Linked DNA regions of Arabidopsis thaliana. The protein of the gene in region 4 interacts with the protein of the main gene of each other region in a pairwise test. Each region holds a gene or a part of one and is shown on either strand. Other genes may lie near its edges.

What was found.
Region 1: the proteins of LBD23 (region 4) and ATCTH interact in a two-hybrid assay, tested with the Arabidopsis thaliana proteins (one large-scale study listed by BioGRID).
Region 2: the proteins of LBD23 (region 4) and SAP interact in a two-hybrid assay, tested with the Arabidopsis thaliana proteins (one large-scale study listed by BioGRID).
Region 3: the proteins of LBD23 (region 4) and AT1G51120 interact in a two-hybrid assay, tested with the Arabidopsis thaliana proteins (one large-scale study listed by BioGRID).

What each region holds. Positions count from the first base shown.
Region 1 is NC_003071.7:11,039,621-11,043,813, reverse strand, and holds ATCTH (Zinc finger C-x8-C-x5-C-x3-H type family protein), read right to left. Parts: upstream 2,484-4,193; 5' UTR 2,341-2,483; intron 2,249-2,340; 5' UTR 1,998-2,248; coding exon 1,050-1,997; 3' UTR 558-1,049; downstream 1-557.
Region 2 is NC_003076.8:13,935,548-13,942,645, forward strand, and holds SAP (Transducin/WD40 repeat-like superfamily protein), read right to left. Parts: upstream 5,321-7,098; 5' UTR 5,240-5,320; coding exon 5,033-5,239; intron 2,044-5,032; coding exon 910-2,043; 3' UTR 539-909; downstream 1-538. UniProt on the Arabidopsis thaliana protein: Transcriptional regulator involved in the specification of floral identity. Acts as A class cadastral protein by repressing the C class floral homeotic gene AGAMOUS in the external flower organs in association with APETALA2 and other repressors.
Region 3 is NC_003070.9:18,936,310-18,939,651, forward strand, and holds AT1G51120 (AP2/B3 transcription factor family protein), read left to right. Parts: upstream 1-1,781; coding exon 1,782-2,840; downstream 2,841-3,342. Other genes in the region: AT1G51110 (Plastid-lipid associated protein PAP / fibrillin family protein), read left to right, coding at 1-160, 243-326, 414-506, 594-647, 730-809, 893-1,000, 1,103-1,175; AT1G51130 (Nse4, component of Smc5/6 DNA repair complex), read right to left, coding at 3,171-3,342.
Region 4 is NC_003074.8:9,788,799-9,791,636, reverse strand, and holds LBD23 (LOB domain-containing protein 23), read right to left. Parts: upstream 1,010-2,838; coding exon 857-1,009; intron 738-856; coding exon 525-737; 3' UTR 520-524; downstream 1-519. Other genes in the region: AT3G26630 (Tetratricopeptide repeat (TPR)-like superfamily protein), read left to right, coding at 1-65; ERF1-3 (eukaryotic release factor 1-3), read right to left, coding at 1,476-2,783.

The DNA.
Region 1 (4,193 bases), on a different chromosome or scaffold from region 4:
CATATTAGTATTGATTAAATGCCCAATGTATACCTAAAACATATAGATTTGTTCGTGTATTACTGAAAACATATTTAAATTTGAAAATCATTCTGAAAATGAAAATTTTATCCAAATTATGAGTATTCATTAGTCATTAGTCTATTTTCAGAGTGGATCTAGTCTACCATTGGAAATAGCCAAATAGTTTTTTTTTTTTGTCAAAAGGAATATGTTTACTTAAAAATAGAATTTGTAGGCAGATTTGATGTTCATTAGAGATATGATGCAAGAGAGTTATTTTCTCGAGACTATTTTCTCTGATTAATTGTTGGGCTTGTTCGTTTATTAATCGCTGTGACAGCAATAGGGACTCCGACGAAAAGCAAAAATTATAACGGAGATACAAAAACAGTCGTTCAATATGGACGCCGGCGGCGTCCTTAGTGAAAATGTTAAGTTGCTGTTATTTTTTGGCGACACGTGTATATGCCTTATAGGTCGCTGTTTTTAAAATCGAGCGACTCCTCTTCACATAACTTTCTACAGACTTCAACGTAATTGTGTGTTAAGCAACTGTTTTTTTGGTCGCTGGATATGATCGCAGCGTTTGGAAAAAGAACAGGCCAACAAAAAATATTTATATCCTCTTACTATTATAACAACGAAATCGATAAGAAGGAAACAACAAATGAAATGTTCTTTTCTAAAGTCTCAAACTAAGATGTTATCCAAATACATTTGAGAACTAATTACAAAATGATATAACATTAATAAACAACAAACAAAATAAAGCCGAAAACCAAAATAAAAACAAGAAAATAACGAAAACAATAAAAAAAACTGCAGAGAAAAAAGCCAGAAGAATAGCTCTCAAATTCTCTCATTATCATCTCTTTACAAATTCTTCCTTTTTTTGTTACTCTTAACGCTTTTTTCTTCATCGTCCGATTGTACCGTCACTAAGATCGACCCGCCACGTCATTTATCCACAACACCTTAAAAATCTCTAAAATATTCACAAAATCAGATCGAGTCGCCACGTCATCAAAGACTCGATCCAAGTCGACTCAACCGAGTGAGTTCTCTCTACTGAGTCTTGCATACATCTCCGCTCTCAGCTCTTTCCCAGATTCCACAAATTCCATCGCCGGAGCTTCTTCGATCTCAAACTCTCTTATCCTCGGCCACGTTGCCGCCTGAATCGGACGCAGAGACGACGAAAAAGGTAACCTAACTGCAGATCTCATCGGAGAACTCCACGAACAACCACCTCCGTTCAATTGCATTTTCCTCATCGACGCAATAAGTTCACCGGTACTCGGAGAAAGCGGCGGAGATTCCGACGGTGGTGAAAACGAAGGAGAAACAAGAATCGAAGTCGGAGAAGTAGCTAATCCTGAGAAGAATCCAAGATCTGGATCTAACGAACAAGGTAATACACGTAACTGCTCCGTCGTATGAGCGAAGAAACAGATTCTTCTCCGGCAGCTAGTTCCGTCTTTACACGGCTGAGTACGGTAACGAGAAGGATGGAGCCAACACTCGAAAACTCCATGAGAGAACTCACACGAATCACCTCTTCTACAACTTCCTTTACGAAACTCAGGACAAGCGGTGCCGGAGTAATGAAACTTTCTCGGATCACGTCGTCGAGCTTTTTCTCCGGGATGTGCGAACGGACACTCCGTCCAATCATGAGATCGACCTCGAGCGCATCGCCGGATTTTGAACTCGTAGATGCGAAACTCGTCGGAGGAGAATGAGTCGGTGAGTGGTGATGACTCGTCGCCACTTGATGAGTCTGAATCGTTTGTTAACTCGTTTGACGGGAGGTAACGGAAGAGAGAAGCGAAGGAGTCGAGATACGGTGACGGAGAGTGTGGGTAGTCGTTAACGCTGTTAAGGTTGACGGAAGAGAATGGTGAAGAGATTGTGGCCGTTGGATCGTTGATTTGATCCCATTGAGGGATATGGATCGTTGGATGTGGCCGGTTTTTATTTTCGCCGATCATCATTTTTGTTTAGTGAGTCTAGAAGAGAGAGAGGTGTGTGTCTGTGATATAAACTGCTTTATTTTAACCATGGTTGGGTCAAATATTAACTACGGTAAAGTTATGAAAATCTTGACCCTATCCACAATACCGTACGGTAAACAATTAATAAGCGCAAATCTGCAGATGATGACACGTGTAAGAAAAAATCTCCAATTTTTGTTCGTCTTTTGTTTTTTTCCCCTTCATGTTCGTCTTTTTTTTTTTTTTTTTTTCTTCATATTTGTCCCCCCAAAAAAAAAAAAAATGTTTTCAAAGCTTTAAAAATATTTAAAAATTTTCAAATTTATTTTTTAATCAATCACACTTTTAAAACTTTATTAATTTTTAAAGTTTTAAAAGCTTTTTTCTCTCCATTTACTTTTTTTCTTTTGTTTTTTTCCTAAAGTCTTTAACTTTAAAAGAGAATAATAAAACAAAATAAAAATATTTTTTCTTTATCCATAAAATTTCAAAACTCTTTTCAAATTTATTTATATTTTATCATTAAAAAATCGATTGATTAATTCGAATTTTATTTTTTCTGTTCTTTTCAGATCCAATTTAAATATTTAAAATAGTGAATTTGTAAAATGAATTTTGTATTTTTTTAAAATAAATTTATTTTAGTTACTATTTTACCAAATAAATTGATTTTTTAGCATAAATAATATTTATAAAAAATATTAAATAATAATAAAAATAATTGTGATTTTTTTGTACCAATCAGACTTTAACAGTTAAAGTTTCTATCGTCAAAATTTTTACAACCAAAATTTTTACAGTCAAAGTCGTAACATCCGAAATATTTAGAGTTCAAAAGTAACAGCCGTTACCAATCAGCCCCAACATCTACTTTATTACGCTTTCCGTTTTAAATTAATTGTCAGAACATTAAAAAAATAATTAGAATAAATATCAATTTACATTTTTAAAAGCTAATTTTGACTACAAACAAAATTAAAGTTTTATTTGCAGTGATTTATGTTTTAACCAATAAGAAATTTTGTAAAGTAAAAAATAAAACAAATTATTAATATGTGTGTCAAAACCTAAAACAACATTTTTGGAGTATCACTAACCAAAAGTTATATAGTCACATAAAACATAGGGATACATTAATTGAAGAAATTAAGATACACATTAAAAATTGAAAAAAAAAAAATTTCTATCATAACTCAAAGTTTATCACCAAAAATTGTGTTAATTATTCCGTAGCTGTTATTTGTTTATAAAGATTTAGATCATTTTGACCAGACTGTAACTATTAGATCATTTTGAAGAATCGTAGAATCATACTATTTTATTTGCAATTATATGAATTAGTCCACACTAATATTAAGGGTCTAGCGATATGAAACATAAGACATTACAGTAAGAAAATATTTGGACGGTACAGTATATATTACTTGTCACGTGACTTTCAAGGTCGTAGACTACTCCCCATGACCTGACAAGAGTGAATAAATTTGGTTATTGTCCCCCATTTTTTCTAGATCATGGAAGGATGCAACGTACGTAGCTTTTATGAAATAAATTTCGAACATTAATTTTAACTTTTGGCTCTCCAGCTGATGGGAGTAAATTGACATGCTCCAAAGAAAGAAACACAAGTCACCTAGTGATTTTCAAGAAAATGTGCTTCCTTCAAAATATCCGAGGTCTAAGATGAAATAGTTTTAAAAATTGTTATGCGGGGCATATATTATTAGAGTGTTGTGCACTTGTAACCTTCCAGAAAATAAGCAATTTGGACGATATTTTAAGGTTTGGTCCATGTTCCAGTATCGTGTTAGGGTCCACTGCTTCGAGATCTACTTGATTGATACTCTTCCATTTGTTTTCTAATTGTTTGATGCAAAGGTTATCCATTAAGGGAAACTTATCTATATCACGTGGAATACTCACTGCAAAAGATTCGCAATATTAGACTTATAATTGTCACTAATCAGACCATTAAACAAATATCAAATTGATTAATATGTTGAATTTAATAATCCAATTTGACCTCTTTCAGATAGGGCTTTGGGGACAAATCTTCTTAAATCGCACCAAACTTTTATTATAAGATAATTTTTGGTTCGTGGCTATTAAATTAAGCCTGAAAATTTAAACATATGTTTCACTTACAAGCGTCAAGTATGGATAAACAATGATTAATCATAAGCTATCATAATGACA
Region 2 (7,098 bases), on a different chromosome or scaffold from region 4:
GAGAACTGTCCTTACGAATTCGTTTCTAAATAACATGTTTTAGATCCTAACTGTTTGTGTTCTTATGTGATGGTTTTTTAGGGACCGGTAGGTACAACGTGACTCATTCTTGTGAGAATCCAAGTTTTGAACTATGATTTAAAGTCACAATATATGGTTACCATCTCAAATTTTATGTAGAGTGCAACTTTTTCTTGAATTGGCGTGTGTTTGGTCTTCTCGAACTTGCTTCTAACGCTATTTCAAACTTGGAAAATTTTGATTTTCACTCTTTATCATCTTGTTTGTTCAATGAGATTAGCCGTTTTGTTTGTATATTGGGTGTGTCCAATTATGCTCTTTTCTTATGTTATTGTTTATGAATAACTTGTTGAACATTTTACTTATCAATTCACTCCAATATATCCTAAAATTGGGATATGCTCAAATCACATCTAGATCTCATGATTCATATTTCTATACCATTCTTTCGATTTTGATCTTGTTTCTGTCTACACCTCCTGTAAAATATATTTTTTACACAAAATGTATTTAAAACCCATTATACAAAATAATAAACTCCAGTAAAGTGAAGAATTACAAGTAGAAGAAAAAAAAAAGACATCTCGTACAAAGTCAGAATTGAGAGAGCCCTAAACACAAGGAAAAAAACAAGAACAACAAGAAAAAGTCCACTTTGTTTGGTTTTAGACAAAAACAGTAACTTACTTTTTTGGTCAAACTCTGTAGAAAGAATCAATCTCCCTTGTAAATCTCACCCTCCTGTCACCATCTTCCCTCCGTCACTTTCCCAATTTAATTTATAATCAGAAACCCTACATATACACCTAGGTTTAGGGTTTCGCTTTTTCAGAGAAAAATAGTTTCTTTTTCTTCAAGTTAAAAAAAAAAAATTATTAATCTGGTACGCTACAGTGCACCGAAATCCCATAGATGTATAATACTCTGAGCCGTTGATGAAGCTGACGCAACCGCCACATGTCTATCATCGGCAACAATGGCGTCAACTTCTCCTACTCTCTCCCTAATACTGTACAGATACTCTCCTCTCTCTACCTCCCACACGCGCATTATACCACCTGCGCACATTAGCGCGTGCAGTCTATTAACACAACCCATTACTCTTCTCTGCGCCGCTCCACTAACACGGAACTCACACACCGTTTGTTGCGTGTTCACCCTTCGCACGCTAGCGTTTCCTCTACTGTCCAATCTAACGTACGCTTCGTCGTTGGCATCGAAGCCTGTCACTATTAGTCCTCTACGTTGCTCTTCGTCTTCTCCGATGATCACTCCTTGGTTTCTTAGATCGATCACCATGATTCTCCATCTCGTGCATGCTACCGCCGTCTCGTTACCGGAGATTCTGAGACGGCCAAGGGACGTTGTTAGCTCTGTTAACGTGTGCCATCCCATGACAGCTTCAGGGTCGGTGAGTGTACCACCGACGAATGTTGTCTCTTCGCTGTTACAGTCCCATATGTGAAAGGCACGACCTGGCACACCCGCGAAAAGACCGACCCACCAACGTCCACAGCCAGTGAAATCTACCAACGCACCGTCGTTAACTATATCTCCTGCGTAAGCCGTGCGTGTGTGACCAACACCGTCTATTTCCGCCACGTGGATGTCTCCGTCCATCGTAGCGAACGTGAGCCTTGAGTCGGAGATAACAATGCCTGAGACGGCTCGTGAGAATCTACCAAAGCGGTCACGTAGAGGTGGCCGTAAGGTCCTGACGTGGAGTCGGTTGTTTAAAAGAAAAAGCCGGACGGTTCCGTCGGCGAACCCTGCGGCTAAGTAGAGGTCTGAGAGGGTGAGACAACGGCAAGAGAGACTATCAGGCTCGTCCACATCAGACGGGTCAAATTGGAGAGTGAAGTAGGTGTGAGTACGCGTCCGGAAGTTTCTAGCCGTCCGATGACGGTAGATGAACTCGTCCCGCCACGTGTCGTGCATCAAATGTGTTCTTGCCCAAACTTGGCGAGATAGTAGTTGCCATAGATGGTCGGAGCGAGAGACAGCGTGCCACGTGGTGCAAACCTGCGATTAAGAAAAATTATTATAAGTTTTAACAAATATTATAATTAGTAGCTTAATTAATAAATGTATAAATAAGGGAGAGAGTAAAAAAAGACATAGAAAGAAGATAAGTAGGCCTGCAACGAAGCATGAAAGACTCTATATATAGGGACTAGGAAGATGGAAAGACAACGACAGACTCAGACACAAGCTCTGCGTAATATTTGTCTTACTCATCGAAACACACAACTCATTTTTATAAAAATCTATTTTATGACATATGTTCAATTGACGGGACTAATCAATCTCTGGAAGCTATAGATAGAGATATAACAACAGAAGCCCTAGTGTAAAAGGAATAATGAGAGGAAGCCCTAGTCCCATGTCAAAAGAACAAAAAACAAATCAATGTGACAATAATACAAAACAGATGATATGTTAATTTATTAGGACAGATGAGAAGACTTTAAATGAGTTAAGCTGAACATGAGATTCCGACTTTGCCAACAAGCGTGCCCTTCTCTCTTTCATTTCCAAGAAAGGATAGCTTTTAAGCCTTTGGTCTTGTTAAAAGTAGAGCTTCCCATAAATACACAAATATTACACTTATATATAGTAGATGTTTCTCTGTCTCTCTCATCCCTCTCCAACAATCCGTGGACCTACATTCTCTACATTTACGTTTATATTGTTATTTATTGTACATCTTTATTCCTCATTAAACGCAAAGTAATGTATTTGACTTCGTACTCTAGCTCTATAGTACAACCTAAAATCAAATATTTCGAATTCTATACGAAAAGAAAAGATATCTTGTCAAACCAAAGGTTTAATGTCTATTAGTCAGATAATCATTATAAAAAAAGAATAATCTAGGCACTAGGGCACGAAATGTAACATAAAATAGATTAGTACAACAAATAACATATGATGGAATGGCAAATCCTATTTATTATTATGCAAATTACCAATCACATCAATATGATATACTTCAAATAAGAAGGGAAAGAAAGTAGTTCAAATATTCCTGAGTTCTAAGATGACCAGATTCAGAATATCACTTTTGTATTTTAATGTGTGATATATCAAATGTAAGAACATAGTATATAATCTATAGACACCACTGCACGTGCTCTAAGAGACCCTTAACATTGGGTTCCATGTGCTTTTCGGCATATGTATGCCCATAATGTCGTCTCTTTTGACTGAAAAAAATTAAGGAAAGAAAAAAAAAAGATAAAAACCCACTTCAATGGAAAAGATGAATCGAGTCAGGAAAAAAGATAATTCCATGATCAATTTCAAAGTAAAAAACAACAATGAAAACTCTAGACTTATAGCCTTAATTCTCTGACAAAAGTGTTATGCTGTAACTACACTGCAGTTTCTTAAAATTTTAGGGCAAATTTGAAAATTCAATTAATTAGAAAATATTATGGGATTTAATAATGATTTAGAATTATCATGTATACATAGAGAAGTGAGATAAAATAAGAGAATGAGAAGTTGTCAGAAGCTCTGCATGCATTACTCAGTGGATCATAATATTGGCAGAGAAAAAAATAACAAAAGCAGGACGCAAAAAATGTACATATGTACTTATATACTATTCCTCGTTACTATATATGAGAAAAATCTTCAGCATAATATATATATGTATTATTTGTTTTTTTATGAACAAAAGAAAAAACAGCTATTTTCATATATAACATAGGATTATTAAAAAGAATAATATGAATGCCTGATATAATACATGGATCATATATCTGTTGATGAATAGAGTTTTCATGTATGTAGAAAATAACCTAATGTGGTAATATAGGACTAACATTGGCAAGGCAAAAAGACAGGACCTTACTTAGGTTTCTTTTCATTCTCTTTTTAGATGTTGTTAAATGTGCAACGACATTTTCTAGTTTTATGAGTCTGTCGTGAGAGGTCACTTTCTATTATTATAATTTTAAAACAATTAGCAGATAAATACCGTTATAATTATAATTCTAAAAAATATTAAATCTATTGGGCATTGGACTAAAGACTGTGCCTAATGTCTATCAACCAATATTTGGAGACAAGAAAGTGTTTAATTTGATTATTATTGTAAGAACTTTTGAGTCAAAAAGTGGATTTCTTGATCTTAAAAAAGGGCTTTCTACATGCCAAGAAAGGAAGATTTAAAGCCAATAAAATAAAATAAAACCTTGATTTTGTGCCCTAAGGGATCCAATTCATAATATAATATTAATATTAGAGTTACTATGCCCAAATGTTGTACAAAGATTACACAAACGAGATGGGGTTGTATGGTCTCCTTAGAGGATCCAAAAATAGACATTAAAAGGTATCAAAAGTAGACGAGAGAACAATGAAAAAGAAATAAACTTATTGGGTAAAAATGGAAGACAAAAAGTTTCTAAATACATAAAAGAAAAACAAAGTCCCCAAACTATATGATATGTGAAAGAGACATCAAATTAATGTCGTCTTGTTAGACATAAAAGTTGGACTTGGACCCATCATAGAAACACAGAAAGGGCGGTTACCTTTCCAAAGGTCAGTTTTTTTTTTTTTTTGTCTCTTCAGAATCCCAACCTTACAAACTAATATCACATTCAATCGAATTGAAGTAACATCATCACTTAATTATGATCTAAAGAGTAAGAATTCGTTATACCAAAAAGAATTAGAACGGCAGAATCAAATCTAAGCTTAGAAACAACTAAAGTACAAGACACTTGAAACAAGCAGTACATTTGACTAGACCAAGATTGTGTCCCTCCACTTAAGTTATTATAGACCCACGACTACTTTGACTTTGTTTTGTCTGCATAAGATCTATGTCTCACTATTTTCAAGTTCAAATATAAGCTAATAAACGAATTCAGATAGTGTAACGAAAATATTACTTTACTACCTGAAGTACATATATATATAGAGAGACACGAGATAATTGATGTGTCTCGACCGTTACAAAACTAAAAGAAGGTATTCAAAGAACGTTAGAACTGACCCGAAAAACGTTGGCAAGAGCCGGAGCTGCGGCGAGGAGGCCGGCGGATGTGGAAGCGTTAACGGCAACTTGAACGGCGAGAGATTCAAGAAAAGGCTCCGGCCAAACATCGTTGGCTCCGCGGCGAGGGCGGGATGGAGATGGGGCCTCGAAAACGCCGCCGCTTCCACCGGCTCCGTTGTCGGAAGAAGAGGAGGAGGTAGACATGAGACGAGAGGGGTTATAAGAGGAACAGGGGAAGAAGAAGAAGCGGAGAGAGGAGAAAGAATGGTGGGGGAGAGAGGAAACAAAGGACAAAAAGTGTAGATAAAGACATACTTCTCCGAGGTGGGGGACCCAGGTTGTGAAGGTATGTTTTTTTCCTATTTTTATTTTCTTTTGTCAAGATTTGTTATTATTTGTTTTTGTTTATTCTTAATAGATGCAGATTTGTTTGTGAAATAGCTTCAATTTTATATTTTTTAGGAAAAGTATTGGTTCAGTATGGTGACATATTTCAAAATTTCTTTCTTTTGATATGCAGATTTTGAATTATAATGGCAATATAACAGCTATATTATTATAAATCACTAGATTTATATTTTGACGATTTTTTATATTTAAAATAGTGTTATATATCATTAAGAATTCAACAATATATTTGCTAAGTTTATTTCCTTCCGCGAACATTAGTAAATTTTTTGTATATGGTAAACTATTGGCTAAACACAAATATTTGTAGATCGATCCATTTTAAAAATGAGAAATAAAATAATATGTATACGCAAAAAATTTGTCAGAGAGATCAAACTCGTAGCACCAAATCTCGACTTTCATACCAGTAGTAAAAACTTTTAAAGCATAGTTTAACATATTTTTTTTTCCCAACATACTATTGTCATTATAAGTAAATAATTTTTGGAAATCTGGTTAAGCATATTCTTATCATTACAATCCTCAAACCTAGAATTCGCCATATTCTGTCATCACAAAACTTAACCCTACTTTTTCTCATATTGCAGCTATCACGATCCTCAAAACCACGGTTCATCGTGAACTTTAGTCCAAACTCATCACAAACCAACACATGAGCATGCGATGCTTTTAAGTTTATTCCTCAATCTAAATATAGAAATATTTACATTTTCTGAAAATTATTCATATATATAGTGCTTTTATATAATTACAATTAACATTTTTGATTAGTATTTTTTAGTTAAAACATTTTTATTCTTTTTTAATTAAAAATAATTAACGAAATAATGATGAATCACGTTATTAAGAGAGAAAAAAAAATAAAGCCACATTATTAACGTCACTAAGAGGAACATTTTGGTTTTCCTCCCAGACATTGTTCATCTTGGGAAAAAAAAATGTCTTCTCTTTTACTAGGTGTTTATCCGAAAACGAAGAAAACCTATTTCTCGTGGCTATTCTCTCTTTCTCTCGTCTCTTCCGCCCGAAACTTTTAACGTCGTTGTCATCGAGTCACATTTCGTCTCAACTCAACTTGTTTCGATATGTGTCAAATCTTTATTTCGATTTTTCCGACAATAATCAGACATCTAAGTTCAATAGCAAGTGATTCCCATGATTAAAACCATTTTCTAAAACCACTGTTATGATATTGATGGTTTTTATCGACGCTTATTACGGCTGATTTTTGCCGTCGATTTACATATGGTGGCTGATTTGTTATTTCTATTCGATTTGATGGCTGAGTTATTGTATGCTTTAGGACTGATTTATGATTTATTAATGCATATGTGGTTGAGTTTGTTTTGTGTTGTGGCTTGGTTACTGTATGTTTTATGACTGATTTATGATTTATCAATGCATATGTGGCTAGGTTTGTTTTATGTTGTGGATGAGTTATTGTATGTTTGACTGAGTTATGATTTATCAATGCATCTGTGGCTAAATTTGTTTTATGTTGTGGCTGAGTTAATGTATGGTTATGGCTGATTTATGGTTTATTAGATGGCTAAGGTTATTTCTGAAGAACAAGCAAAGGATTACCCTCTAAGAATTTACGCAGAAGGAGAGTCTAATCTAGAGAATAAACTCATTAATCACAATATCAAGAT
Region 3 (3,342 bases), on a different chromosome or scaffold from region 4:
TTTATTCCGTTTTGATAGAGCCGCTTTTGATTTGAAGTTCCTTCCTTTCAAAGTTCCATATCCAGTTCCTTTTAGACTTCTTGGTGATGAAGCAAAAGGTTGGCTAGATACTACTTATTTGTCGCCTTCAGGTAACCTTAGGATTTCTAGGGGAAACAAGGTAAATGAGTTTCTTGATTCTCAAAAAGAAAATTAAAGCTTTATAGCATTTTTATCCATGAGGCTGTATATTTGTAGCGCAGGGAACAACGTTTGTTCTTCAGAAAGAAACCGTGCCTAGGCAGAAATTGTTAGCCACCATATCTCAAGACAAAGGAGTAGCTGAGGTAATGTGTCATGCCTTCAAGAAATCTGAAAACAATCGATAGTTTCGGTTTGAAATGGAACCAATGGATCGTTTAGTATAAACACAGGCTATCGATGAGTTTCTTGCGTCTAATTCTAATTCCGCGGAAGATAATTATGAGCTTTTAGAAGGAAGTTGGCAAATGATTTGGAGTTCACAGGTCACTTCTCTGATAACTTTAGCTTTTGTCTTGAACAAGCACTTATATTCGTTTGGATAAGCGATTTTTCGGGTTTTGTGTTTGCAGATGTATACAGATAGTTGGATTGAAAATGCAGCAAATGGTCTTATGGGAAGACAGGTAAACATTTTATTAGAATGTCTTAGGTAGTCTATTGTTGCTTCAGCTGGCTTCGTTTAGCGAAATCGAGTATCTTATTCAGATCATTGAGAAGGATGGGAGGATAAAGTTTGAAGTTAACATCATTCCGGCATTTAGATTCTCCATGAAAGGCAAATTCATGTAAGTCTCTGTCTTTTAGATTAGTCATTTTGCTAACTTTTTTGTGATCTTGTTTCTTGACTGGTCTCATGAATGATTTGCAGAAAATCAGAAAGCAGTACATATGACTTGAAGATGGACGACGCAGCAATTATAGGCGGTGCATTTGGATATCCGGTCGATATAACAAACAATATCGAGCTAAAAATTCTGTAAGATCTCTCTATCTTCTTCTTCTACTACTTTCACAAATCACAACATATAATAATGCATTTGAATTGCTAATACAGAGATGCTTACTTTAATGTTTGTAGGTACACAGATGAGAAGATGAGGATAAGCCGAGGATTCGATAACATTATCTTTGTGCACATCCGAGAAATTTAGCTGCATTGTTCTATCAGAACCTCTTATTTGAACATATGAAAAAAAATAGTATGTAAGAAACTGTCAAATGTTTTACAACAATGGAAGGTGATAGTTTAAATTTTCTCTGTTCATTAGTTTTTTTGGATGTAACAGGAACCAGAAAAAACAAGAAACCACATGATATAATTTTCGCTACTAATGTCTAAATTAAGACAAAATTAACATTAAGAAAACTTTACTTTTTGTCTTAATCTTAAACAAATTCACTGAATATTTCTTTCTACAAAGAAAATACGAATATCTCACTAACAAAGGAAACTTACCACTAACAGCTTCTGGTGGCATTAATTACTCTGTAAATTGCCATTTTTTCACCGAGAGAAAACTAGAAAAACAAAACAAAACATGGAAACTGTAACATTCTAAAAGATTCATTGTTAACAAAACCAACAGAGAAACATAATACTGATTTTCCAGGATTTACTCCCTCAAATCTCTCCTTCAAATACTCTTCCTAATCTCTTCTGTTTTCATTTTGCTTGTTCCCTGCGAACATCTCTCTCTCTTCCTCTGTTTCTTGTTTTTTTGTCCTTTTCTTGATTTTTGTATTTTTTTGTTATGGATATGGACGAGATGAGCAATGTAGCCAAGACAACGACAGAGACTTCAGGCTTAACTGACTCTGTCTTGAGCCTCACGAAACGCATGAAACCTACTGAGGTTACGACCACCACAAAACCTGCCTTGTCCAACACGACGAAATTCAAAGGAGTTGTTCAGCAACAGAACGGTCATTGGGGTGCTCAGATTTACGCAGACCATCGAAGGATTTGGCTTGGAACTTTCAAATCCGCTCATGAAGCCGCTGCTGCTTACGATAGCGCATCGATTAAGCTTCGAAGCTTTGATGCTAACTCGCACCGGAACTTCCCTTGGTCTGATTTTACCCTCCATGAACCGGACTTTCAAGAGTGCTACACGACAGAAGCTGTGTTGAACATGATCAGAGACGGTTCTTATCAACACAAGTTCAGAGATTTTCTCAGAATCCGGTCTCAGATTGTTGCGAATATCAACATCGTGGGATCAAAACAAGTCTTAGGAGGAGGAGAAGGTGGTCAAGAATCGAACAAGTGTTTCTCGTGCACGCAGCTTTTTCAGAAAGAACTGACACCGAGCGATGTAGGGAAACTGAATAGGCTTGTGATACCTAAGAAGTATGCAGTGAAGTATATGCCTTTCATAAGCGATGATCAAAGCGAGAAAGAGACGAGTGAAGGAGTAGAAGATGTGGAGGTTGTCTTTTACGACAGAGCAATGAGACAATGGAAGTTTAGGTATTGTTACTGGAGAAGTAGCCAGAGCTTTGTCTTCACCAGAGGATGGAATGGTTTCGTGAAGGAGAAGAATCTCAAGGAGAAAGATATTATTGTCTTTTACACTTGCGATGTCCCCAACAATGTGAAGACATTAGAAGGCCAAAGCAAGACCTTCTTGATGATTGATGTTCATCACTTTTCAGGCAACGGTTTCGTGGTTCCCGAGGAAGTAAACAAGACGGTTCATGAGATTTCTGATGAAGAGATGAAAACAGAAACCCTCTTTACCTCGAAGGTAGAAGAAGAAACCAAATCAGAGGAGAAGAAAGGAGGGTTTATGCTGTTTGGTGTTAGGATCCAATAGCTAGCTACTTGGTTCTTAGGTTTTTTATATTATAACTTAATTAGAGTATGGTTTTTATTTGCTTTTGTATTACATAGTTTTTTTATTTACAAACTCGATGCTTCGATTTTGATATCTAACATTAATTAGATAAATTGTCTCTCTTGAGTAGATCAAAAAAAAAAGAAGAAGAAAAACCAAAAGAGGCTTTAAATTCTTCTTCTTTTAAGAGTTAAGACAAAAGCCACTTAACTGCTACAAACTACAACGAACTAAACAATCCTAACAAAGACATTTAGTTAATGTCACAAAATGAAATAGATACAACTCACTTCTCTCTCTATACACTCCTTAAGAAGAGGTGAGTCTCCGCTTACATCTCCTTCGAGTCCCATCGCCCTCTTTGTCAGGAGTATCTTCTACAACAGTTTCTTCTTGTACAACCAACCCTCGGTTTCTCGATAGTTTTCTTATTGGTGTTGTCTGAGTATCTTGTGTGAAGTCTGCTGATGCAGGGGCTGAT
Region 4 (2,838 bases):
AAACGAACGAAACTCCGAGCCAACATCAAATTATGTTCACCAAGTGGGATACAGGCCGATTTTGAAGGTTCAGTGTCTCTTGACATATATATTTTCGTCTATTAAACAGATTCATTGATCATCTTTGTAACTATACAAGAAAAGCTCCTTCAAAAGTAGTGTAATGTCATGTACTTGTAAAAGGAATGGGAGCTTAAGCAGGGAAAATAGTAAATTCGATTTGTAATAGTGTCATGTATTTTGTAAACAGATTCATTTATCTTTTTACATTATGATTCTCAAAATATCGGCCAAGAGACTCAAGACTGTATAATTGTCACCCTTTAGTTATGGATTTGTGATAATAATAAACTCGATTCGAACTTGTTTACATTTGTGTTTTATGAAACACTTTTTTAGTATAGCTAATGGCCTCTTGATTATGAGTCTGATATAGTTAAAGTTAAAGAAGATCACTATCTTATAAGTAGAAGCAATCGGAAACGAAAATGCAGAGGAGAATTTATTGTTGAAACTGAGAGATATTACATAAAATCAGAAATATGGGTTTGGCTAAGTTTGGTTTGAGCAACAGCAATCTCAGCTTGAGTTTTGGCTAATTCATTCTGAGTTTTCTGAATCTGAGTTTTAAGTAAATGAATAATGCCAACACAACCATAAACAGGATCATCTACTCTGCATTTTGCTTCAAAGCACAAAGATTCCACTGCTTCAGCTCTTGTCTGATCAGGAAGTTGCTGTCAAAAAGATCACCAAAATCCAACCATGAATACACTTACTTATATATATGCATAAAGTGTGATCTTAAATAGGATATTAGAAGAAGATACACAAAGATGTGTATAGATATATATACCTGAAGCATTTTGGAAACGTTTCCAGCACCATAGATTCTGTGGACACATGCAAATTTTTGAGGATCGTTTGGAGGGAAATATGGTGAGAATACGCAATCTTTTGGACATCTTCTTCTCAGATACTTGCAAGCTGCACATCTTTTTGGATTCATCTCAGATTTTCTCAGACACAAATATAAACAAATAACACAAAAGAAGAGATTGTGAAATCTTACACAAAGATTTAGCTATTTGTATTCCTTTTCGTTTCCTTTCTTTTCCAATAATCAAACGGCTAGTTTCCAGTTTCTGAAATTTGAGAACATTTACTTAAGGTAAGACTATTTATGTTGATTCTCACTTAGACTAATTAGACTTTATATTACCGTTAACATTACTGTTAAGGCAATATTAATGTTTAGCTAATTCTCAAATAGGCAATAAGAAATGTCTTCAAAATAGAGTATAATGAAGCTCAAATTTCTCATACATTTTAACATAACTGTTTCAGAAAAACTTAAAAGCGGCAACAGAAGATAATAGAGAGAGACAAAGTATATCAAACAAAAGTTCATAGTCTTTCTTTTTTTCCCCAAACTTCAAATCCTTCTTCAGATCTTAAACCACATTTTCTCTTACTTAATCTGAGTCTTCATAAACTTCACCATCGGATAATTCATCGAATGTCCTCATATCAAGCTGGTACCGCAACAATCCACCAATACCGCCAAAGCCTCTGCAAAATTGTGATCCTTCTTGGGACTTGTTAGTCACAAACTCAAGTGTACAACCAAAACGTTTATATTCGTTAGCAAACCATTCAAGCAGAGGCATCTTCTCCTGAACTTCTAACTCTGCATTAGTCTCTGCATCATGGAAATTGCTTTGGTTGTTCTCTTGATCCTTTCCCAAATGCTTAATCACGATTTCTCCGGTCGTGTTGTTCTTTAACTCATACCTATTAATATCTAGATTCTCCCACACTATAAGAGTCTCAACAGCACCCATTTCCAGAGCCTTTAAAGTATCTTCAACACCGAAAACATATTTCCCAGTGTCTTGACTAATCTCCTCAAAGTACTTCCCAATCAATTTCTTTTCTTGTATGAACTTCACATTAGATAGAATCTCAGCAGACAGCTCAATTGCTTGGTTGAAACCATTCTCTCCTCCGTAAGAAACATCAACCACATTCAATATCTTAGCTTGAAGACGAGGATCAAACAGTTCTGATTGACTTAGCTCGGTCTTAAAATCCGCTGAACCAGCAAGTATAAGACCAGAGACATTAGGCTGACTCGTAGCTGGATTAATGTAAAACTGAGTGGCAAGCTCCGCGGTTTTCCTCACATAGTTATGTCTCTTCTCCATCCTAAGACGAGCAAATCGCAACGCAGATTGTCCTCCTCTTCCGTGCTTTTTCGGAAGATCGACAGTGAACTTATGAAGAACCTCTCTTGTATTCCCACTCAAAGTACCAAACAAAGTTCCATTTCCATCCATAACAATGAAACCAAACTTATCATCAGACTCCAAAAGCTCATTCAAAGGCTCGGTGTGGAACTTATTGTCACACAAATACAACGAAGCATTAATCGGTTTAAAAGGCTCGAAATCAATCGTCACTTTCTTCTCTTTACCATCATCAGTAACAATGGTTCCAGTATAGAGAACAAGACCATTCGGAGGAACTTTGTTGTAAAGCTTCAATCTTTGTTGAGCAGAAGTAATGGCAGATAAAACAGATTGACGATTCACTCGACTCTTGATGTTTGAGGCGGTTCCGTATTCATCAGCAAGCATCTTAGTGACACGAGCTACTTGATCTCTAGGAGGCATTATAAGAGAGATCATACTTGTTCCATTACCTCTTGCGGTTTCAAGTCCTTTGATTAGCTTCTTAATCTTCCAAATCTCAATGTTCTTATCTGATTCTTGGTCTGCCATGTTTTTCCTCCTTCAAGCTTAAAACAGAGCACGCAGCTCAAAATCTAAAACAGCA